Arabidopsis thaliana: one gene and its partners. The protein of the gene in region 4 interacts with the protein of the main gene of each other region in a pairwise test. Each region holds a gene or a part of one and is shown on either strand. Other genes may lie near its edges.

Region 1 (6,694 bases), on a different chromosome or scaffold from region 4:
TTTGGAACAATAAACGAAAAATGAGTCTCAATTGCAAGAGAGTCTTGCTTGATATGTAAGAAAAAAAGCATTTTCCTTAGGCCACTAAAAAATAATCAAATAAAACGCCACATTTTTTTTCTACATATATCACATTTTTAATGTGTTTTAGGACTTTATTTTGAAAACAAAATTCATCTCTTTAACATTTATAGAAATTTTTGTTTGTTTTTTTACATTAAATTACTAAATCGTATTTATTCATTAATGTTTTTTTTAATAACAGTATTTAAATAATTTCTTCTATACAAAATAGAATGTTAGGCCACATTTTAATAATTTGCCTAAAAGCTCTATTTGCCAAAAGAAGAGAAAAATTGTTTATGATTACTCAAAAATAATAATAATAAATTTATGATCCTTCTCTGATTTTAAAGAATTTTATATTTATACTATGTAACCCTCTCTCCTCTCTTCAACAAGATTCAAACCGCCAATAGCATACCACAATTTTGTTTGTAATTTGGGCAAGATTAATCACAAGATACAAATTTGAGAAACCTAATCAAGAGAATTAACAAGAGTTTACAAATAGAGAATATTCTTGTAACACTGTTTCTTCACCTCTTAAATCGAACAGTCAAATGATCAAACATATGATCATCAGAACTAATACAAACAATATTAACAGAATCGAATCTCTGAGAATAAAGGCGAAACAATACAACATCCTATTTTTAACACTTGAGAAGATAAAACAGAGCTTTGGCTCATGTTCTGTTCCAAACCTAACCGCGTCCTAGTGCTCGTTGGCTTTTGTTCTCCGAGATTTGAATCTTTCATCCACAGACTGACGACTCTTAAGATTTGATTCGTGGTTAACTTATAGTTTTGTTTACGAGTGTCTAGACGCGTCCTCATGCAACTGCGTAGTCCTCACATTAGGATCATCCTGCACAGAAATCACCATGAACTAAGATGACCAATTGATACAAACAGGAAAAAGAAAGATCTTTTATTACAACTGCAATAGTTACCCGGATGTCGTAAGAAAAATTGGCAGGCCTGAAGAAATCTACTCCCTAGAAAGAACAAAGTAAGATTTTACTTTTTTGGCAGTCTTGTTACAAGATTGACAAAACTTATGAAAGCATTGAGAATAGGTATGTAGGTACCTGTCCATGGATGCCTTGCTGAGGACCGTAGTAACTGTCGTAGCTTGGTGCTATCGAGTTCAACTGTCGCTACAGAAAACCAGCCGGAATTGTTTTTTTATCCAAAGTTAATGAAATAGAAAACAGCAGAAGCTACTTATACACATGTCATGGTCGATTTCATACCAATCCTTGCATTGTTTGTTGATTCCCATAGAAATTATCGCGAGTTGGCCCCATTAAGTTCAGCTGGACCTGTAAAAACACATATCAAAACAGATTACATACGTATCTAGATAATAATATGAACGTATGTTGTGCTTAATTACCATTCCTTGTACGCTCTGCTGTGTTCCATAATAGCTTTCAATGCCAACCGTCCTTGGGCTCAGCTTATCCTGCAATTACAAAATTCAGATATGACATACTTAGGCGACTTGTGTTTAAAAGAGGCTTGCCACGACATGTCAACAAAGACAGACCATCTGTTGCAAGCTTTCTGGCGCTGCAACTGGCATAACATCCTGCTCTGGGTTCACCTGAAATTAGTATTTGGTATCATCAAATTTGCAAAGCATAAAAGCGCAAAGCGAACAAAATCCATAAGCTGTCTGCACAGAGAGATCGTAAACAAGTAAGTTACTTTTCTTTTCTTAGTTGGATTCTTTTTCTTGCTGGTTTTGCCTGCACTTCTGCTATGGTTGTCCTCCTCCACAGAAATCAGACCTTGAGTTGGTGACGTTACAACATCTGGAAGACTTCTGCCGGAAGTATTAATACCAGCACAGTTTCCTATAGCTCCTTCAATAGCAAGGAATGCAATATTGTAACTCTCTTGAGAGAGGGATGCCTCTTCATTCAGCTTTAATGCTCGTTCGCACAAATCGTTATACCGCAGCAGCCTAGTCTGCAACTGCTGAGGTTCTCCTGAAAAATGCCGGCTTTTTGCATCTTTTGTCCACCGCTTCAATATGTACTGCGAGGGGATGGAAGAAAGATGACAACACTGAAGAACATTAAGAGTGTGTCTGCAGAGATACCCTTTATACTCAAATAACCGACAGATGCAAGAGACTTCAGCCTTTGTTTGGTTCCATGTTACCATGAAGTCTTGGTTGTTTTCAAAATCCTGCACTCTAAAAGTAGAACATGTGGCATCTCGGTTCTCCTCCCTAGGACTACACGCAATCGCACCCAAAACTTCAATCTGGAACTTTTTGAAAACTGCAGGAGTATAGACTTCAGAAACACTCTTCTCAAATGGCGATGGAGACTTCATTGCTGGCTGCTTGTTCCACATTTCAGAATCAGCTTTGGCTTCTTCTTCACATCTATCTTGCAAAACTGTATCATATACCTTTACAAATTCTTGTACACTAGTCTTCTTATGCATATACTTGTCGAAGAAAGCATTAATACTATCAGCTCGTTGAGATGTAGACATCCCAGCCAAAAGAACATCAGTCATGTAGGTTGGTGCCCATTTCTTGCGGTCTTCATATAAAGAAATCATCCATTGATCATCTTTGAGGCCGAATCTAGCAAGATTCTTATACCATTTTCTCGCAAAGTCTTCATCTTTCCCTGATTTATAGATGCACTTCTCAAACTTAGGCATAAAATTATCATGTTGCTTAACAACTTGACCAAGATTCTCAGAAACCTTCATCAATACATGCCAAAGAAAAAGGCAATGCCGTGTATTGGGGAAGATTTCGGGAACAATGGAGTTCATTACAACGTCTAGCTCAGTGATCAAAACCTTTGGAGCTTGTCCACCGATTGCTCTCAGCCAGGTCTCCATTAACCAAGAATATGTTGCTGCACTCTCATCGGATATTAAGGCGCACCCAAGGACCATATACTGGTAGTGCTGGTTCACTCCAACAAAAATAGCAAGTGGCATCTTGTACTTGTTTCTTACGTAGGTGGTGTCTAGAGAAACAACATCACAAAAACTGCCATAGTTATGCCTGCTCTTTGCATCTACCCAAAATACATTCTTCACTCGCTGATCATCGCCCAGATCTACTGCATAAAAGAAGTTGGAATTCAAGGATTGCATCCGTGACAAGAAGTCAAGCAGGATTTTGAAATCCCCTGTTTCCACTGATAAAGTCCGACCTTTTTCAAAAGAACTTTTCGAATCGCTTTTTAGACTTATAACAGTTTTGTACTCAGCAAACTGCTTAGCCATTGCAGCATATATCTTTCTGGTCTGTTCACTCACAGCTTGTGCAGGTAAAAGCTCATGATTATGCTCCCTCACAAAGCTGTGAATTACCCATTTCCCATCCGGCCTTCTCTTAACATGCATACTAGCTTTGCAATCGGTTTTCGCACATGTTCTCCTACCAGCCATATTCTCTGGATCTTGCTTACTTTGTCTAGCTCGTGGCCGATTAAAAGATTTGTCATATTCTCTTTTAGTACCATACCTAGAGCAAGCAAACTTCGCATCAATAAACTCTCTTGTAGTTTTCGATCTACGACTGTTCTGTATCGCAGTGTTAAACCCCATAGCTCGAGAATACTCCTGGTAAAACGAATACGCTTCACCGTGTGACTCAAACTCCATACCATTAAGAGGTTCAAGATTCATACCCTCAGTGTACTCAACCAACTCCCCAGTTGGAACACCCATGCCTACACTGTCATCAGTATTAACCTCAACAGAAACATCCTCAATTTTGCCAATATCCATATCTTCTTCATTGTGTAACACATTATCAAGTCCTCTATCCTCATCATCTCCTTTGCAAAGGTCACCTGAATGTAGTCGAAGATCTATATCCATGACAAACCTATAGTCTCAGGCAAAACAAACGTCTTACAACACTGCAAGACAAAATCTAGGTCTCAGTACATATATCTAGGTCAAAATGTATACTAAAGTCACACACAAAAGATGTAACAAACCAGAGAAACCCATCAAAATTCAATCTTTCTATGATGATAAATCGAGAAAGTATACACATTTTGCCCTTACAATTGCAGAAAAAAGCAACTTGCAGCTAAATTCTTAGTGGGTATTTCATCACATAAACGAAATCCTCAAATCCAATTCCTAAAACGAAGCTGATCAAAACTACTGTATAACCCAATCATTTGTGTTGGTTATCACTATAAAACAAAAACAAAAAATAAAAATGAAAACTTTACCTCGTACGAAACAGAAGATATACGAATCGGAGCAGAAACTGAGAAAAGGCCGTCTCTTTTTAATCTCTTCGTCGTCGAGAGGAGGAAGAAGAAGAAGACAACACGCGCCAATCGGGTGCGAGTTGGGGTATCGATCTGCGAAAAGGAGATAGAGAAGAAGAAGAGAGAAAGAGAAGAAAAATTGGTGAGTGGTGTTCACGCGATCTGAGGAAGCGAGTGGGCGGAAGATCCACGATTCGTTCTTTTGGTGTCTAGGGTTTCTTCTTCTTCTTCTCTCTGTCTAAACGCATCACCATGTTTTTTGATAATAATAATATCTCTATCCATTTATTTATGTTATTAATAAAATAAAATTAGAAAGAAAAAAAAAAACTGTTTTTGTTTGAAATTTTGTGCAACGCGCATGCCAAAACAAAAATTGGAGGGAAGCGTGAATAATGGGAATGATGAGATTTACTTACATCTATAAGAGTAGACTTGTTTAGGCTTTTAAAATTTGTTTGGTCCACTCTAAGACTAAGACTTGTTTGAATTATTTTATTTTGTATTTCTAAGTATTTACTATGGTGAAAACTGAAACATTACGGTGAATTACAAAAAAAAATCATAGTAAACTATTCAAAATATTTTTTTGTTATTTACAAACTATCAGTTTTGAATTTGGACTATATATATATATATATATTAGTAAATGCTTTTACCAACTTTCAATAGCCAAGAGCCAATTGGTATGACTATTTCAGAATTGGATTAATTTATTATATTTGATCCAAAATAAAAAGATCAATAGCCGTCCAAAAAAATAAATAAATCAATAGCCACTCATTAGCATGAGTCACTGTTCTTTTTAATTTTGTACATATAGATTAGCTCAGTCTTAAAAACCATAGTTATAATTAGTCCCACTAATGTTAAAAAGTTTGGTAAAAAAAAAATTATTTCCTAACTTTTTTTTACATATTAGCTACAATAAAATAAATACCATTTTTGGAAATATTTTATGAATTCAAAATAAATTTCATAAAATATCATAATCAATAGCCAATAGCCAGTTGGTAATTTACTATTTCCGACATGATTTAATTTAATACAGCATATATTTTTTGACAAAAAGCCAGCCAATATCCTGAAATTTAATTATAATTATGCCAAAATTATTTATAATACCAAAATTATTTATAATTAATTATCCACTAATGTAAAAGTTGGGTCAACCATTTGGACTTAATTAAGACTAAACCTGCCACAGTAACAGAGAGAGACGATATTTTCTCAGTCCCTTTCCCTTTTCAACGAGCAACAACACTCTTCACTTAATCGCTCCGGCGGTGGCGAACGGCAACGTGACGGTGACGTTGTCGGAAAATTAGAGTTTGTTTATCTTTGCTTATTGTTGTTGGAGAAGAAGGTATGGTGAGGAAACACGGTTGGCAACTTCCCGCTCACACTCTTCAGGTAAAATCGAATGTAACCTTTCTCTATAGCCAAAGCTTCAATTTTTCATGAATCTGCTCAATCTAAAGTCACCAATGGCTGTGATTTCAATTGGGTTCTGTGTATTTTTCTTCTCAGGTGATTGCAATTACGGTGTTTTGCTTGTTGGTGGTCGCTTTCTATGCTTTCTTCGCTCCTTTTGTTGGAGGTCGTATTTGGGAATACGTTTTGATCGGTGTTTACTCTCCCGTGGTATGTTTAATGCTTCTCAAGCTAGTAGTGTTTATGATCAGAATCAATTTTGCAAATTCATAACGAGTTTTGGATTCCACAGCTGTGTAGTTTATGGCATTGATCTTATCTGATAGGTTCCTTTATGTATCGTGTGTGTTTTTGCAGGCTATTCTTGTGTTTGTTTTGTATGTTCGGTGTACTGCAATCAATCCTGCGGATCCGAGAATCATGTCGATATTTGATACAGGCGTGAATGGAGATGGCATGGTTCGTGGCTTATCAAGGAATTATGATGAAACTGGTAGTCAGTTGCAGGCTTCTCCTTCGGTTGTCAGTAGGAGTTCTACCGTGGCTGGAAACTCTAGTGTGAAAGGTTCTGTAGAAGATGCTCAAAGAGTGGAATCTGTAAGTAGAAGATCTTGCTATAATCCTCTGGCAGTTTTCTGTTATGTGTTTGTTGTGGAAGACTGCCGGAAAAAGGAAGGGCCGGCGGAAGAACAAGGAAACAGCGAAGAGGCTCTGTTTTGCACATTGTGCAATTGTGAGGTACTAAGCTTCAGAATTCTACATCAAGTCTCCATGGTTATATTTGTCATGTGTATGGTCTTTAATATGAAAAGTAAATGATGTATGAGCAGTTAATAATAACTAAAATTTCTTGGTCTTTATCTTCTAGAATCTGCTTTAAGAAGTCTTTAGGGAAAGCAATTTGGTTCAGATTTTAGATGTGT
Region 2 (3,169 bases), on a different chromosome or scaffold from region 4:
TAAAACTCAAGCCAAAAACAAAGAACAAGAAGATGTGTTGTGTCCAACAAACATCAACCCTAACTCTCATTGTTCTTATATCAAAAGTCTTGCCTTAAAATCAGAACCTTCCGAATCGAAATATCTGAACCCTCTGACCTAACAATAGAATAGATACATTGGAAGCTACCAATAGAAATATCCGTAGAGATGTCTTGTGTTTTTCTATCATGTCTTGAGAAAACCAATGAGTATATTCTTGAAAAATGGAGATGAAGGATTAAAAGAAAGCTAACGAGCTTGTTGTAGATTTTTTTTGTTCTCTTTTAGAAAATCTTGAAATGTTGACGTTGAGATCAAAAGTTGGAAAGTTGAAAAATGAGAGACTTGCGTGAAAGAAGAGAGTTGAGAAGGGTCATCATGGAAGGAGGTCCAGATTTCTAGCAAATGAAAAAAAAAATGGGTGAGAAAAATGATTGGTTTCTTAATTATAACTTATTTCCAAAAATAGAAATAACTATATTGGAGGAGCATGACAAATGATGATTCTTTGGATTTCATGAGAAATTTTTGTTTATTTAAATAGTGTTGCTTAATGATTTCAAGCATTACTAAAAAATCACAAATCAATAGTGAGAAAAACAATATAAACATTATAAACATATGGCATTATTTTTTAATCAATTTGTTTCCAAAACCAAATAATAAGATTATCAAACAATATTATTAGTTGTTTAGTGGCAAAATAACATTACCAAACTAAACAACATGATTTGACTAAATTATCCTTATCTGTTACCTCCTAAACTTTTAAAATCCTAATTTTAACACTCTAAATCAAAAGCCTAATTTTACTAATGGTGACGGCGTCTACGTTCCTCCTCCTCCGCGATCTCAACCTCAGATTCCGCCGTCGTGGTCATCGGCTCTAAAAGCATCGCTGTGAACGGCATATGACTGTAACCATTCACCGGATACTGAATTCCGATTGGCTGACAAAGATCCAACCTACAACTCGGCGATTGTGGCGTTTGCGTTTGCGTTTGCGGCGACGTCATCGACGACGACGACGAGGAATCGTCCGCCGCAACATCAACCCAATTCGAAATGAGCTTAGTCCCGTAGCCAGTGGCGGCAATAATCGACGGTTCAGCTTGACTAAGAAGCCATTCGATGGTTTCTCCTTCAGTTTTGTGACCGAGCTCACGCGTTAACTGGAAAATCCTAGCGGCGGCGAGAGCCGGCATCGTAACTCGACGGCTTCGTCCGTTAACCTTCGTGTGACGGTCTTTAGTCCTGGCGGAGATACATCCGCCGCCGCTCGAGGAGGATTTCGAAACACCGAACTGCGTTTGGGAACGCGATTCGGAAGCTATAGCGTTGAAGTTGGACTCATTTCTGCACACATTCTGAAAAATCATCTCCGAATTCGTCGATTTTGTAAACTAATTTCAGTGACGATGAACAAGGATTCACAGAGAGAATCTTAGGGTTACTAAAGGAGGGAGAAGAAGATGATTCGAATTAACTTTTGGATAATTTGGGCTTTTAAGCCCAATATAAGGCCCAACATGATCCACTCTGTAGGAAAAAAAAAAAGGGAGAGAGAACAAAATCTGACTTCCATGGCAACAAACAAGTTTTAATTTTTACAAAAAAAAAATTGGGAGTGTGTGTGTCGCCTTATCTGTTCGTCATGGCTCTGTAGAGTAGCCTCATGTTCTTATTCTTCTTCTTCCTTAGCCATTCGTGGAAGCAAAAACAGAGTCTTTTATTCTTTGGTGATTCTGTGAAATGGAAGCTACGAGGAACTTGGTTTCTTCATCTCCTTCGTTTCAGACAAAGACTCATCTCAAGAGCAGCTACTCTTCTCCTTCCTCTGGTACTTCTTATTCAGCTACTCTTCATATAGAAATATTGTGTCTTTGCTGGATTTGTCTCTGTTAGTTACTGGAATTTGAAGTTCATGGATTTCAATTTGAAATTAGTGTATGTATACGAGTTTGTGTTAGCATTTTCTGATTTGTTTTTGTTCGTTTGTTGGTATTTCTGTAGTAGTGATGCTTCATGATCAAACAACAACTCCTGTTGTTAACTCACGTCATCTCAATTCTCTATCTCGACATTTTCCTGCGTCGGTTCTCTCACAGGAGCCACGGGAAGAGTCTAGGCCTCTGTCACATGCGTTAAGAGACGATAGAACATCCCAGGTGTGTTTTATTAGCAGCAATATTGTCCTAAGAGATTGAATCAATCATAAAGTTGTCAACTTTCTAGTCCTCTTGTTTAATGCGATTGGGTTCCTTGCATTTTTAGTTGACTCTGGAGAGGAGGCAGTTTGATGAATTGGTTTCATCTCGAGAAGATGAGAAATTTGAACAGCAACTTCTTCACTCTACTGGTTTATGGAATTTGTAATGTCTCTTCCTCTCTTAAACCCACCAGTTTCAGTTTTCATACAACCTTTTGAGTTTTCTGAATGATGTAGCCTTTCTTTTGTTTGCAGATTAATATCTCCTTTAACATCTGAAACGAAATTGCCGGCAGTTGTGTCTCCTTTAGCTGATGCAGAGCTTTGTGATGTGGTTGCACTAGCTCAGAAGGCTTTATCAGCTTCAAAACAAGCTGCATTGTTAGTTGATGACACTGAAGCAAATCCATCTGACAACATCAAGGATTCTCTCTCCACTAGGTTGCTTTTTTTAACCTTGTTTGTGTATCTTATCAATCTGCTACTTGTGGGCTGTAATGTGAAAAGATTTGTATTTCTGGATGTTTGGTTTTAGCTCTTCTATGTCCTTACCGGAAAAGGGAAACATAGTAAGATCGAAGCGGCAGCTAGAGAGACGAGCAAAGAACAGACGGGCTCCAAAATCAAACGATGTGGACGATGAGGGTTATGTTCCTCAGAAAACTAGTGCGAAGAAAAAGTATAAACAAGGGGCTGATAATGATGATGCGCTTCAGCTCTTCTTGTGGGGACCTGAGACAAAACAACTTCTGACTGCTAAAGAAGAAGCTGAGCTGATATCACATATACAGGTTCATGCTTTCCTTATTCATGTGTCCTTGGACTTCCTTCTTGTCCCTGGTGCTAACTTCCATAATCTTTGATCTATCAGCATTTATTAAAGTTGGAGAAGGTAAAGACTAAACTTGAATCTCAAAACGGCTGCGAACCAACAATAGG
Region 3 (6,862 bases), on a different chromosome or scaffold from region 4:
TACTTAATCGAGCCTTAAAAATAAAAATTATATGCTTGTATATACTATAACAAAGCAAACAAAAATAAAGCAATCAGAAATAGTCAAAACTTCCTTCATTGGTATTTTATCAAAATTAGATATTGTACACTAGTTTCTACCAAAAAATTAGATAATATAGAGAGACACCCCACACGCTAAAAACCATGAAGCATCACTTTTTTGAAAAAAGTTTTTTCTAAATTGGTCATAATCCTCTTTTGTTTCTTTTATTCTCTTTTTGTGAAATTGCATCTTCAGCTGTCAAATTTACGTAGTTTCTTGCTCCACACGGCTGGAGTCCTGGAGATGCCGCGTTACTGAATCTGGATGGCATCGCAGCACTATCGGCGGCAAACGTGTGAAAACCACACACACACACCTATAAAACCCATTTTTAGTATCGATCGATTCACATTAGGCCCATTTATAGGGTCAGGCCCATGTAACATTCATTTCTTGAAAGAACAGGCAAGATTCTAAAACGTACCAAATAGACAGACAAAAATACATTTATCTTCGAAGTGATACATCTCCACAAACTCAGGAGTACAAACCTTTACAAGTGAAAAAACGCATCATCATCATCCATTCACGTCGCTTTTTCCCAACCGCTCTTTGCCGCCGAGCGTTTGGATTATAGCTTCTAAGAGTTTGATCTCGTTATCGCGTTTGGATATCTGTTCTTGCATTCCTCGAAGCTCTTCCATATGCAGCTTGAAAACCTCTGAAACCAAGAGTTGTATAAGTCAGTGAGTGAGAGTGAATATGAAACTGGAACGCAGATAAACGTGCGGGAGAGAATGGTGCCACCAGGCATCAACTCAAGAAGTGATTATCAAGTGCATACTTGTGGTGTTTTCAAGCTCTTTTGTGACATCTTGGGCACGTGATTCAGCAGCCTTTTGAGAGGACTCAGCTTGGCGTTTCTCAGACCGAGCATGAGCAGCAGCTGTAATGGCAGCATCTAGTTCTCTTTCTAGTGTTTGTACTCTTTGCTCAAGAACCTAAAACAAACCATTGAACAGAGTTAAGAGACAATCTGAAACTATCCCTTATCTCAAACATGTAACACAGTCCTTTTTTACTTACAACATGAAGAATTTCTACTTAATACACATAATTGCACTTGGGAGTTTTCATAGTGAAACCTCAAGTCCAGTCTTCAAGGATTTGGTGATCATTTGTACCATTAACAGATCACAAAATCGAAGATTCAAAATTTATGATCAACTACAAGTTCCCAAATTCACCGTCAAATGCAATTCCAGAATCACACTATTACACTGAGCTATAGTAGTACTAAAGCAAACTAAAAAGTGCGATCGTGATCAACTAGATCGAATCCACAAATCACAGAAGCAATCATCAAAGTCAAAGAAAAGAAGCTCAAAATTCAGACAATTAAGCTCTATAATTTCAAATTTTATCACAGGAAAAAGGATTAACCTTGATTGTTCGGGCTTGCTCGGAGACGAGAGAAGCTCTAGAGAAAGTGTCTTCTTCAACGAAGACTGCTTTCTTGAGGAGAAGTTTCTGAAGCGAATCGAGATTCGATGCCATCTCCGTTATATTCTCCAATGATCCTTTCCATCTCTCATCGCTCCCGCCGAATTGCTCCTCCATCGGAAAAAGATCAAAGGATCTCTCCCGGCGCCGGCAAATAAAAAAACTACTCGACTCGCAGATCGATCGGAAAAACAACTAAAGATTCTTTGGGCTTTCTTCGGCCCATATAACTATTGTTTTTTTTAACCGCATGGTAATTTGTTATACGTAAATAAAGGCTGATGTCATCATTACGATGTAAGCCAATAAGAAGATGAGGCGTGCCCAGTTTCGAGAAGGTACTAATGACGTGTACCAATAATAAAACTGGAACTGATAGGATCTCACACTGCTCTCTCGTCCACGAATTCTGATATTAAAAACCCAAGCCTGTTAAACCTTTTGATTTAGTTGCCACGTGTTGATATCATGGTCACTTGTCTTTTGATTCTCCCGAAACAAAAACAATAGTTTAATTAAAATTTAAAATGTTTGTCAAAAAAAAAAAAATAGGAAGCCTTCATCGTCTTCTGCCGAACATCTCTAGAAAGTCCTACACAGTTTTTTTTTTCGATCTAGCTTCGATGAATTGATACAATCTCTTCTATCTGCTGAGTTTTTTGTTTTCTGGTAAACAATTTTATCTGTGGAGTTTTCTGGAGTTGCTAGTGGAAGAATCTGTCTCACAGGTGAGCTTATTTCGTTCGGCTTTGATGGAATCTATTTCGATTGAATTTAATTAGAAAATTTGGTTCTTATCCTCAGTGTTTCCATAGCAGCGGTAGCTGAGGATTTCTCAGATTTGATTGTTTTTTTTTTTGTTGCAGTTAGTTTCATTGAATGCCTCATTTCACTGGATTTTAGTTGTTTTTGTAAACTCTCGGTTTAATAATGATAGTTTAACTCGATTTTGCTAGAAATTACGAGCATAAAATGGTTGAATCCTACTATCTGATTTTTCTCCTACTTTGTTTTTGTGCTACTTGCTATGAGATTTGACTTTTTGGCTGTAGAATTTGAGTCTAATTTCTGGAATTCATGAATAGTTGAAAGAATGGGTTAACTCTTAGGGTTTGGATTACATGTATTTCGGGTTTCATGGGATTTGATTCTGGATAAGAAAAGTCAAGTTTTCTTATATGCTGGGTTCGATTTCTCTATTATTGGAAGCTGTTTAATATATTTATATTTCCTATCCAGAACCAGAAATAGTGTTTGTGGGAGTTACATGTTTTGCAATAGAGATGACATATCGGGGTAATGTGCATGATTTTAGTGGTGATTAAAGAGTCTGAAGTTGGGAGGAATGTCGGACTTGTACATTCATGAGGTGAGTGGAGTCACAATCATATATGTGTGTGTATCTTTTTTCTATGAGACTATGGATTTAGATCTTTCGTTGTTGCTCTTGTCGTATGTTCCCGGAAAATGAACTGTTGTGAAATTTCCTTTTTTTATTGGGTTCAAAATCGTTTAAAATATAGGACAGTTCTTGCATCTCATATTTTACTTCTTGTTATCGCTACCACTTGGATGTGTTCTGTGCAGGATTGGGGATACTTTGTTAGTCTACTCGGTTTGATGTTTCCCTAGTCATTTTTTTCTTTGACTTGGTAATGTGGATTTCTAATTGGTGGCTGAAGTTTTCTTTCCTTTCTTTTCCTTTCAGCTAGGCGATTATCTTTCGGATGAATTTCATGGGAACGATGATGGTATAGTGCCAGACTCAGCGTATGAGGATGGAGGTCAGTTTCCAATTCTAGTTAGTAACAGGAAGAAACGAAGAAATGATGATATGGGTAGTGGAACAAACCATCTAAAGAGTAATACTTTTATCAAGAGAGAGGCAAACATGTTAGGAAAAAATCCATGGCCTGAGAAAGATAGTGGTGGCTCTTCGGTTTCTCGTGATACGGGAACAGGAAAAGATGTTCAGGATATGACATTGGAGGATACAAATACTTCAGATCATGGTTTCAATGGTGGCCACGTAGATGTGGTTGAAAATTTCTCCACTGGGGATCCCATGTTGTGTGACACTTCCGCTGCAACGAATGATGGCGTATATAATTATTCCCTCAACAGCATTCCGGATGCTGAAAATGATCTTAGCTTTTTCGACAATGGAGATAAAGAAAAAAATGATCTCTTCTATGGCTGGGGTGACATAGGAAATTTTGAGGATGTGGACAACATGCTTAGGTAACATTTTAGATATTCTCTTTTCTATATATTCTTATCACATTGGGGATCATTGCTTATGGGAGAAACATGGTAACATTTGTCTGAGCCTACACTCGTTTATTGGACGCACAGGAGTTGTGATTCAACATTCGGCTTGGATAGTCTTAATAATGAAGGTGACTTAGGGTGGTTCTCTTCTGCCCAGCCAAATGAGGAGACAGCAGGCGCGATGACAGATGATCTCAAACCAGACAAAATGTTGGAAAATCAAAGAACCGCTATGTTGCAGGTTGAAGACTTTTTGAACAACAGTGAGCCCAACCATGCTGTTGAAGATGAGTATGGATATACTATTGAGGACGATTCAGCTCAAGGAAAATCATCACAAAATGTATTCGATACAAGTTTGCAAAAGAAGGATATATTGATGCTGGATGTAGAGGTTAGTCAATTTCTTATTTCAGAATTGTTTGCGCCTTCCAAGGCACATGCAACCATTAACTACATGGGATGTTACCTTCTATGATGACTTATTTAGTTGCACGTTTTCCTCAGTTAAATCCTCTAACTATGATATGACGCTTTTTACAATGGTGGTTTATGGTTTCGTTAAGGGCAAGTGGATATTCTATTAGATAAGTATTTGTACTGTTGAAATCTTGACACTATTCCAGCAATTTCATATCAGTACAAATTTTTGTTATACAGGCAAATCTTGAGAAGAAGCAGACTGATCATCTTCATCATCTGGATGGGAAAAGTGATGGGTTCTCGGAGAACAGTTTTACTTTACAGCACAGTGGTATTTCAAGGGAAATAATGGATACCAACCAGTATTACCCTCCCTCCGCATTCCAACAGCGAGATGTGCCATACTCGCATTTCAATTGTGAGCAGCCTTCCGTTCAAGTATCAGCATGTGAAAGTAAATCTGGTATTAAATCTGAGAACAAACCCAGTCCTTCCTCTGCTTCAAATGAGTCATACACATCAAATCATGCACAATCAATCGAGAGCTTACAAGGTCCAACTGTTGATGATCGGTTTAGGAAGGTCTTTGAAACGAGAGCCAACTTGCTGCCTGGGCAAGATATGCCTCCTTCTTTTGCTGCAAATACCAAGAAGAGTAGTAAGACAGACTCCATGGTGTTTCCTGATGCTGCTCCTATCCAGAAGATTGGGCTTGAGAATGACCACAGAAAAGCTGCAACTGAATTGGAAACATCAAATATGCAGGGAAGTTCTTGTGTTAGCTCTGTTGTGGATGACATTTCACTGGAAGCAACAAGTTTTCGCCAGCTTCAACAAGTTATAGAACAGGTACAACTTGTCAATAGATAATTGTTGATATAAGGAAAAGGCTTCCTGGGAATCGGTAAAAGTTTGCTGTTCCTTTGTGATTGATATCAAAGTGTATATATGTTAATAAATTTACATATACATTTGCTTACTTGGTTGATAATACACTTGCTTGCTCCAGTTGGATGTTAGGACAAAGCTTTGCATAAGAGACAGCTTATACCGATTAGCAAAAAGTGCGGAACAGAGACATCATGGTGGAAACAGACCGGAGAAAGGCGCAGGCTCGCATCTCGTGACTGGTGAAGCAGACAAGTAAGCACCACATCCTACATAATTATTCAATATGTTCACCCTTTATCACCTGTTGCTAAGTAAAGTTCTTGATGCCAACTTATAACTTTATATAGGATTAGACTCGAGTCTTGACAGATTTAGTAACTCTCTTCTTTAGAAACTTCCACTTGGGCTCTTGTACTCGTCCTTCATTTCTCTTAGATTCTAATCTTTGATATCTGTATGTGGTCTCATCCAGGTATGCTGGATTCATGGATATCGAAACTGATACAAACCCGATAGATCGATCGATAGCTCATTTGCTGTTTCACAGGCCCTCAGACTCATCTCTTTCATCCGATAACAATGTTCTGTCTTATAAATCTCATCCAATGGTAAGTTAAACCTTCGATTCTTACACCGCCATTTAATGTGCAAAACACAGTGCCTCATTTTACCCATCACTATCTACACAGATTCCTCAGCCCAATAGTAGTCCGAGCCTGAGGATAGAGAAACAAGAGGAAACTACAGAACTTAGACCCGAAGCAGAAGTTGTAACAAGTGACAACAATTAATGATGTCAAATAAAACTGGCTCTTTCATTGCTGAAGCATTCGAGATATTGTTGTTAACACTAATCTCGATTTTGGCTAAGCGAAATTGCTCAGGTTAGTTACTAAAATCCTGACTGCTTCTTCATTAGAATCATGGATTTTGTAACACAGTTGTATTTATGTGTTGAGATAACTTTCTGGTCTAGATTTCGGTTCGAACCTGATTGTACACCTGGTTGCTCGAACCTGATTGTACACCTGGTTGCTCGAACCAGGTCTTTAAGATATGTTCTTTACCTTTGTAATCTGTTCAAGTTGTTAAGTAGAGGAAGAAGTAGAGACATAGCAATTCTGTAGATAAAGATGTTAGTTCGTTTTGTAATGCGATAAAATATTCTGCTGTGTATTTACTCTCTTTTTTTCAAAATAGCGAATTTTAGGGTTTTATTTTCCAATAAATATTTGATGATCTCATAAATATATATATTTCAATAATGATGAAATTAGACATTCCGAAGCAAATTATAAGATTAACCTTTGTGTCACAAGCTACGTTACAGAAATTGGATTTGGATGGTACAAATGTAGTAAAAGGTAAAAGAAACACTAATCGAAAGTTTGCCTAAGCTGCATCTCGGTTTCACTTTTCCAAGAAGCGTGAGAAGATTGTCCTCTCATTCTTTTGCTCTTCTCTTTATCTTTGATCGTAGAGCCTTTCTTCTTCGCGTCTACGTCCGGTAATGGCCGGTCACCACAAATCGGGCATACCATTCCTCTTGCGCTTGTATATGTTTTCGGTACACCGCATTGCACACACATCCTAAACTCATCATAGAAATCCTAATCAAGCTCACATTGTGCAAATTTATACTAAAGAATGAAGAAGAGGGCAAGGGTTATTCATACCTCAAGAGATCTGCAGATTCTTCTGCATTAGGATTGGTTGCAGTAGATATCCGCTTTTCACCACTCTCTGAAGA
Region 4 (6,580 bases):
TGAAAAGATGTATACCAAATCTGTTCACTTTTTCTCTATAGACTCGATGGATGATTGAGATTTGAAGCAACAAAATACCCAGAAGATTAAACATGGAAAAGCATCAAACTTTGATGATCTTAGAACGATGACAAAAGAAAAAAAAACGTACCTTTGGATCGAAACGAAACAGCCGATTGTTGTTTTCTTTATCGCAAGGATGATGAAGAAACTTTGGGAGAGAAACAAGTGAAGCCCGTTGGTCTAGCAAGTGATTGTAAAATGTATATATGAGTCACCACCGAGATATACGGATCAAACTTTTATATTATCGTAACACTCACTACACTACCACTCAATTATTTACAAAGATTTACATCTTTTTAAAAATACTTTATTTTTTATTACGAAACATAGTTTGTGTTTTTGCGGTCACTCCTATAATCTATGTAGGATACTTGCATTACATTTTTCACAAATAATTTGGTTTGGTAGCAAGGATATGGCTCATTCAGTGAGAACAAAAAAATTGTATATCTACTCATTCATCAGTAAACCAAATTAAGAGATTGAAATATTGTATAAACTAGCTACACAATATAAGCCTTCTTTAGGCCTCTATTACTTAAGCTTGTAATAGGGAAAATGTTGTAATGTAGGCCCAAGTAGTGTGAGTAAAATCTTTAAGGCCCAGCCTAGCACCTTTGGGCATTTGGCGTTGGGCAACGAGCGCCTTCAAGTTTGAAACAAACAGAGAGAATCATTATGAAGAAACACCAAAAGACAAAACTTTCTAAGTTGTAACTTTTGTACAGTTCATCTTTTATCATTATAAACTATTTATGATCTCATCAATCAATATCCACAATTTTTAAAAAGAAGAATAAAGACAAATCCATTGCTTAATGGTTAATTAACAGTAGTAGCAGATGACATATAGACCACAAGTAGCATACACAAACAGAGACAAGAGACAAGACATGGGGTAATATGGTACAGAACCTGACATGACCAAAGAAATGTTCGGAAGGAAAATTAAAAGTCTCTTTCATAAAGATTGGAGAAGCAAACTACTAACACTAGATTTAAAGATATTGATAAAAATGTGGATGTTTTTTTTTTACCTCCAAGTCTGTCATGTAGAAGCTTCTCCTTCCAATCGAAGCCTTTTGCAGACTTTTTCATCACTTTGATTGTTTATGTTCCCAACTTGGCTCTCTTTCACTTCCATTGAACATCTCTTGTATGGCTTAAATCCTGTCTGTCTCGTTTTAAGACTCTTGCATGTTCCAACACCGATCATTACTACTCCTTCTTGGTCTGCAGCACAAGAATCCTGGCTTTTGAAATTAGGAGCCAATGGCATTGACGTGTCACTTTGTTTTCTATTCACATTCTCTGCCACTTGAGGAGGCGAAAAGCTTTGAGGCAATCTTTCTCTTGCAAAGAGAGCCTGAAACGCTATACGACCCTGAAAATATTTTGATAGTGTTAGTTCCCAGAAGAACTCTGCAATATCCATGAATCATTGGTTTTTGTTTTACCTCTTCGGAGACTTCCTTCCACGAATCAGTAGTTGCATTGTTGTTGCTGTTGTTGTCTCTCATTTTAATCTTACGGTTATTTAACTCAATAACATCTGGCTGATTCTCATCTGTCTCCTTCACATCCTCTTTATCTTTCTCCATTTTATCTAATGCATCAGTTTCTGCGTCACTCCCTGAAGGTGTATTTGAGCCACAGGATGAGCGGTCCACAAGATTTTTCTTCTGGGCAGTGTTTGAGTCATGCACAGCGGCAGTAACAACAACCTCCTCAATTTTATCATCATTGGTTTTTGAGTCGGCATTTAGCTTGGTTACTCCAGTCTCATCTGAATCATCAGATGATGAAGCTGGAGATTTCGAAGCCAAGTTTTGATCTTGCAGAGCTGTGTTTTGTTTCTCAAACGGTTGAGTATTTTCAACGGTATCCATTTCAGTCATTGCTGGAGTTGGAACTGCAACAGTTGAGAATGGAACACATGTTATTGGAGCTGGAGCGCATACAGGAAGAAGTCCATGAGAAGCCCACCAAGCAGTTGCAGCAGCTACTGTAGCAGCGGCAATGGCAGTTATACTTGGAGGAGAAGAGCTCATTGGGGTTGATGAATCACCAGAATTCCCGACACTCGCATAAGGCCAGACCGAAGCAGCGAATGTAGCTGCAGCATGAGCTGCAGGATTCTGTAGGAGAGTTGACATAATAAGATTGGAGAAAGTAGATGATATCTGGAGAAACGAACGGTAATCATCCTGTGAATGACAAGCTGGAAACGCTTGATGAGAAGCTGTAGTAGTAGCAGATGCTGTTGTAGCTTGAAGATTTGCGTGCCCGTGAGTTTCTTCTCTCATAGGATGAAACATGAAGTCTTGAGATACCATACCTGAGGGATGATTTTGAGGGCATTTTGCTATATTCCCGTTCACAATATCTGCGTGGAAATGCCAAGGGTAGTTTTGCATGCTGTGCACAGTAGTACCATCGTTACCATCTTTGTCTTTGTTCTTCTTGGGAACATCTTGAACCGCGTTGTCCACAGTTGAGGTCTTACTTGTTTCAATGTCGCCACTTACCTGCTAAAAATCAGAATGGAACAAATAATTTGTCATGCACTTGAAAGCATTCATCAGATTCTTCGACTACAATTTTGTAGCTTTCTTAGACTTACTTTCGTTGGTAAGGGATACTTGTTCACAGTAGAAACACCCGAGCAATTCTCATCTTGATTTTCTTTTCCAGTTGATGTTTTCTAACCAGAAAATAAAACATAAGAAGTCTATCACAAGACCACCAAAATGATAAAATGAAGAAGAGAAAGATCAGGAATAAACCTCAGAGAACGGCATTTTTTCCAAATCCAAGAACGCCTGATTCAACTGTGAAGAAGAGGCCGATGAAACAAGTTTTGCATCTTTTGCTGATGATACTTGAGAGGAAGATGTACCGTTGTTCCCAGGCTTTCGAGGATAAGGAGTATTGGGTTTTCGTTTAGGACGAGGAGGCGGAATTTCTATGTCCAAAGCTTGGCAAACAGGGATGCCTTTAACTTCAGCCTCTTTCTCCAACTGAAATGTGAACCAAAAACTGTGAGCTTTTCCAAACTGGAGATGGAAAAATGCAGCTCAGATGTGAAATCCTGAGATTCATGAAATTGACCACATCACCAAGGTTGAAAAAAGTCTTATACTGACCCGAATTTTTCGGGGTAGAGATGATAGAGTTACTTCATGTCCTGTCCTATAGGGCAAGGAGGTTTGGTTTCCATATGGATGGCTAAAAGAATTCATGCAATCCCATTATTTCATCGACTTTAGTGAATATGGGACAATTGTGTCATCCAAATGCAACGCTAGTTATGTTAATTTGGACCTATCTTATGGTCTCAGAGAAGAAAGCTCTCTGTAGAGTTTTTTCTAACAGTAAGTTTGGACAGACCAATCTAATGTTAAGTTTAGTTGAACAGAGTAAATGAAAAAGATAAAAAACGATCGAGATGCAATCCTCGGAACCAACCAACTCTACTTAGCAAAACACACTCTACTTAGACGCCTAATTTCTAGTTGAAGCAATTAGAGAAAAGGAAGAATAAGAAGAACCTTCTATCATCTTTTCCAGACAGTGACAGGCAACTTCTAAACATAGTCATAGATCGATATGAAAAAATGGTACCTTTACACAAGATAACGAAAGTGTTTTAAAAAGATCTGAAAGGATCATCAACTTACCTTTGTGAAGAACTTTTGTGCATGACTTCTGATCTGAACAGCAGTCTTTGTCCCAATATGTTCTGCACACAAAATGAAAAGAAAAGAAGGAATCTCCCAATCAAGAGGAGATAAAGACACTCCTAAACAAAGGAATATAAAATCTCAAAGAGTTCAAACTAAACATTCAAAAGATAAACTTTCGACCTTCAATTCGTTGCCAAGCTCTTCCATAAAGCCTCAAGGCTTCTAGAAACCTCTCATGCTCATCCTCAGTCCATCGCTCTCGCTGCTTTGTTATTGTATATGGCTTTCTTGCCTAAACATTTGAAAACCCAAAAGAAAATCAAATCTTCACACAACAACAGTCCAAATCTCTCAAACAAAAAAACACCAATCTTATTTCATTAGTAGTAGTACCTTAGCTAATAATTCTTCTCCAGATGTATTAGTATCCATAACAGGACCGGTGCAGCTATTCGCTGCTTCAAATCCTCTCTAACAAGTAAAGTATAAAAAAGAAACCATCTTTGATCTCCCCAAACATGAAAGTTTTCAAATTGCAAAGCCGTTGTGATAACCTCTTTAGATTCTAGAGAAACTGCAAAGGAGAAAGTACTTTATGAGAAATATTTATCCACAAACACTAAGATAAGAGTGATGAGCGAAATTCAAAAGAGAAATCTTTTCAAAGTCCACCGTGAAACAGTCGCTGCTTCTCCAGCAGAACTCAAAAGAATTCCCTTTATTATTATTCACAAAAGCCTCACCCAAACGAATCCACCGCAGCCAAAACCTTCACAAATCTTCATATCAGTAATCAATCACCAGATTCGTATCATTTATGCTAACTTTTAGAGCTAATAAGATTTAGTTAATCGCTTCTATAAGTTTCTCAGCAGCCAAACAGAGATCTTAGTATGTTATAGGAATCCTAGAAACTGCTCATAATGTAAACTGTTATACCCTTGAGAGTAGCCATGGAGGAGACAAGTATGCAATCTGACTTATCATCTCACCGGGAACTCCCCGGAGAAGTCATCGTTCCCGGAAATAATCAAATCGGAAGCAAAACAAAAAAAAATCTCTAAAAATAAATTTAAAAAACAGAGAGAAGAAGGAAGAAGATAACTGAAGAAGAAGAAGAAGAAGAAGAAGAAGAAGAAGAAGGAAGACTGTTTTAGGCTGAAGAAGACTGGAAGAAGAAGAAGAGAAGCCAGAAGCAATCTCAGCCACAACAATTTTTCCCCTAATTTTTGGAAAAATTTTAATTGAAAAGTTTATTTGAGGCTGGAACAGCACCAAGGGTATAAATGGAAAAAACAGAAGTCATCGCAGATCGACACGTGGTGATATTGTAGTGGCTGTCTACTGCACTTTTTGGTATATCTCAAGTTGCTTCTCTACGAGCCAGAAGCTTCAATGTGAAGCTCACGTAGGTAAAAGTGAGTGTGGTGGTCCACAATTGCTTACGTGTAAACGATTATTGGTACAAACTTGGACGACTAAACAAGTGGGTACGGTGCCAGCTGTGATGGTGTACTGCTACGTATTGGCTATGCTGGATCTGGGCTTGTAATAAGACATTGTATGGGCCTCACTTTTACGCCTATTCTATATAAATTTGCGTATTAACATAGTTGAATTAAACCCGACAAGCTTGGACTGCTCGGGGAACTTGCGTCTGTATAAAAATCTTCATCTTTTCATATAATATCATGCAATGCCTATACAAAATTTCAACAAATTATCATCGAGAACTTTGGTCAACTTGCTTATATAACATTTGTAGAAATTAAGGAACATTAATTACTCTTAAGTCTTAACCGAAGCATGTAGTATTTATTTATGGAATTCAGCAAACATCATTACACTCATTTTTTTAGATTCCAGCTTACAACTGTGTTTTGCTTAAAGCAGAAGCGTTTAACATAGTTATAGATACTCTAATGTTGGAGCAGAGCTTAGTTGCAATATTTTTTGAAGTTGACGGCCTCATCGGTCAGGAAGCCACTACAAAAGGTTACCGAGAACTTTGGTTAGTTCGGTTCGGTTCTAGGTTAACCAAAAAACAATAGACCAGTTTTTGTTACTAACCGAAGAACTGAACTACCCGAATCTAATTGAAATAACCGAAATTATTCCAAAATAACCAAACAAACCGGATTTAAATATTTCACAAATCTCTACGTTGATGTTTGGAATTATAAAATTTTATCTCTCATTACCTCTCCTTAAACATTAACTAGGACATAACAGTTATTTGAAACATACATTAACAACAATATAATTAAATTAAACGGGCGACTTAGAGTCGTTATCCTTATTAGGAGTAGTATATTGAGCTTCGTTATCCATTCCTGAAGACAATGCAGTTGATGATTCCGTTTCTTTGTTCTTCCCCCACAAGAACATGTAGAGACCCGTTATGGTCACTAGTGATCCAATCACACTGTAGACCAAAAGTTTTAATGTTGTAATTAGTGTTATGCCTAGACAAAATTAATTTGATAGAGATTATCGAAGAAGATACCTTCCAAGGTATAAAGGAGTGTGTAAAATGAGGAAATCAAATAGAGTAGCCGAAATGAGAGTAAGTGGGAAAAACGCCGATGCGAACACAGCTCCTAATTTTTTAATCCCCCATGTTGTTGCAACCGTCGTCATTGCTTGTCCTACCACTCCCTATAATATATGATAAAAAAAAACCACATAAAAAAACCCACATTAATATCTTAAGTTCTTACATACTAATCTTATAATTTTTAAAAAGTTAATTTATAAAGATATGATGTTTGTAACTTACAGCGTATATGATGACGGTGATAACGAATCTATCATCTATGATCCAATCA

Evidence for each region.
Region 1: the proteins of LHY (region 4) and FHY3 interact in a two-hybrid assay, tested with the Arabidopsis thaliana proteins (one study listed by BioGRID).
Region 2: the proteins of LHY (region 4) and AT2G37000 interact in a two-hybrid assay, tested with the Arabidopsis thaliana proteins (one study listed by BioGRID).
Region 3: the proteins of LHY (region 4) and AT5G64170 interact in a protein complementation assay, tested with the Arabidopsis thaliana proteins (one study listed by BioGRID).

The regions. Positions count from the first base shown.
Region 1 is NC_003074.8:7,821,485-7,828,178, forward strand, and holds FHY3 (far-red elongated hypocotyls 3), read right to left. Parts: upstream 4,713-6,694; 5' UTR 4,296-4,712; intron 3,972-4,295; 5' UTR 3,931-3,971; coding exon 1,777-3,930; intron 1,673-1,776; coding exon 1,616-1,672; intron 1,532-1,615; coding exon 1,463-1,531; intron 1,389-1,462; coding exon 1,320-1,388; intron 1,224-1,319; coding exon 1,155-1,223; intron 1,062-1,154; coding exon 1,017-1,061; intron 932-1,016; coding exon 875-931; 3' UTR 513-874; downstream 1-512. Other genes in the region: AT3G22180 (DHHC-type zinc finger family protein), read left to right, coding at 5,706-5,750, 5,868-5,981, 6,129-6,509.
Region 2 is NC_003071.7:15,538,621-15,541,789, reverse strand, and holds AT2G37000 (TCP family transcription factor), read right to left. Parts: upstream 1,545-3,169; 5' UTR 1,401-1,544; coding exon 834-1,400; 3' UTR 542-833; downstream 1-541. Other genes in the region: NAP12 (non-intrinsic ABC protein 12), read right to left, coding at 1-70; SIGF (RNApolymerase sigma-subunit F), read left to right, coding at 1,774-1,861, 2,035-2,189, 2,296-2,393, 2,486-2,671, 2,766-3,021, 3,102-3,169.
Region 3 is NC_003076.8:25,671,945-25,678,806, reverse strand, and holds AT5G64170 (dentin sialophosphoprotein-like protein), read left to right. Parts: upstream 1-1,983; 5' UTR 1,984-2,255; intron 2,256-2,766; 5' UTR 2,767-2,872; coding exon 2,873-2,896; intron 2,897-3,235; coding exon 3,236-3,768; intron 3,769-3,882; coding exon 3,883-4,192; intron 4,193-4,458; coding exon 4,459-5,070; intron 5,071-5,230; coding exon 5,231-5,364; intron 5,365-5,584; coding exon 5,585-5,720; intron 5,721-5,801; coding exon 5,802-5,903; 3' UTR 5,904-5,996; exon of another isoform or gene 5,997-6,088; 3' UTR 6,089-6,341; downstream 6,342-6,862. Other genes in the region: AT5G64180 (tropomyosin), read right to left, coding at 603-745, 869-1,025, 1,468-1,644; AT5G64160 (plant/protein), read right to left, coding at 6,489-6,702, 6,789-6,862. UniProt on the Arabidopsis thaliana protein: Transcriptional coactivator necessary for expression of the clock genes PRR5 and TOC1. Antagonizes REV8 function in the regulation of anthocyanin accumulation. Involved in red light input to the clock. Activates clock-controlled genes with afternoon peak.
Region 4 is NC_003070.9:32,878-39,457, forward strand, and holds LHY (Homeodomain-like superfamily protein), read right to left. Parts: upstream 4,881-6,580; 5' UTR 4,692-4,880; exon of another isoform or gene 4,522-4,691; 5' UTR 4,496-4,521; exon of another isoform or gene 4,327-4,495; 5' UTR 4,185-4,326; coding exon 4,146-4,184; intron 4,045-4,145; coding exon 3,933-4,044; intron 3,809-3,932; coding exon 3,747-3,808; intron 3,295-3,746; coding exon of another isoform or gene 3,213-3,294; intron 3,123-3,212; coding exon of another isoform or gene 3,087-3,122; coding exon 2,853-3,086; intron 2,771-2,852; coding exon 2,690-2,770; intron 2,598-2,689; coding exon 1,524-2,597; intron 1,451-1,523; coding exon 1,115-1,450; 3' UTR 1,104-1,114; exon of another isoform or gene 785-1,103; intron 713-784; 3' UTR 502-712; downstream 1-501. Other genes in the region: UMAMIT28 (nodulin MtN21 /EamA-like transporter family protein), read right to left, coding at 6,021-6,177, 6,259-6,410, 6,532-6,580. UniProt on the Arabidopsis thaliana protein: Transcription factor involved in the circadian clock. Binds to the promoter region of APRR1/TOC1 and TCP21/CHE to repress their transcription. Represses both CCA1 and itself.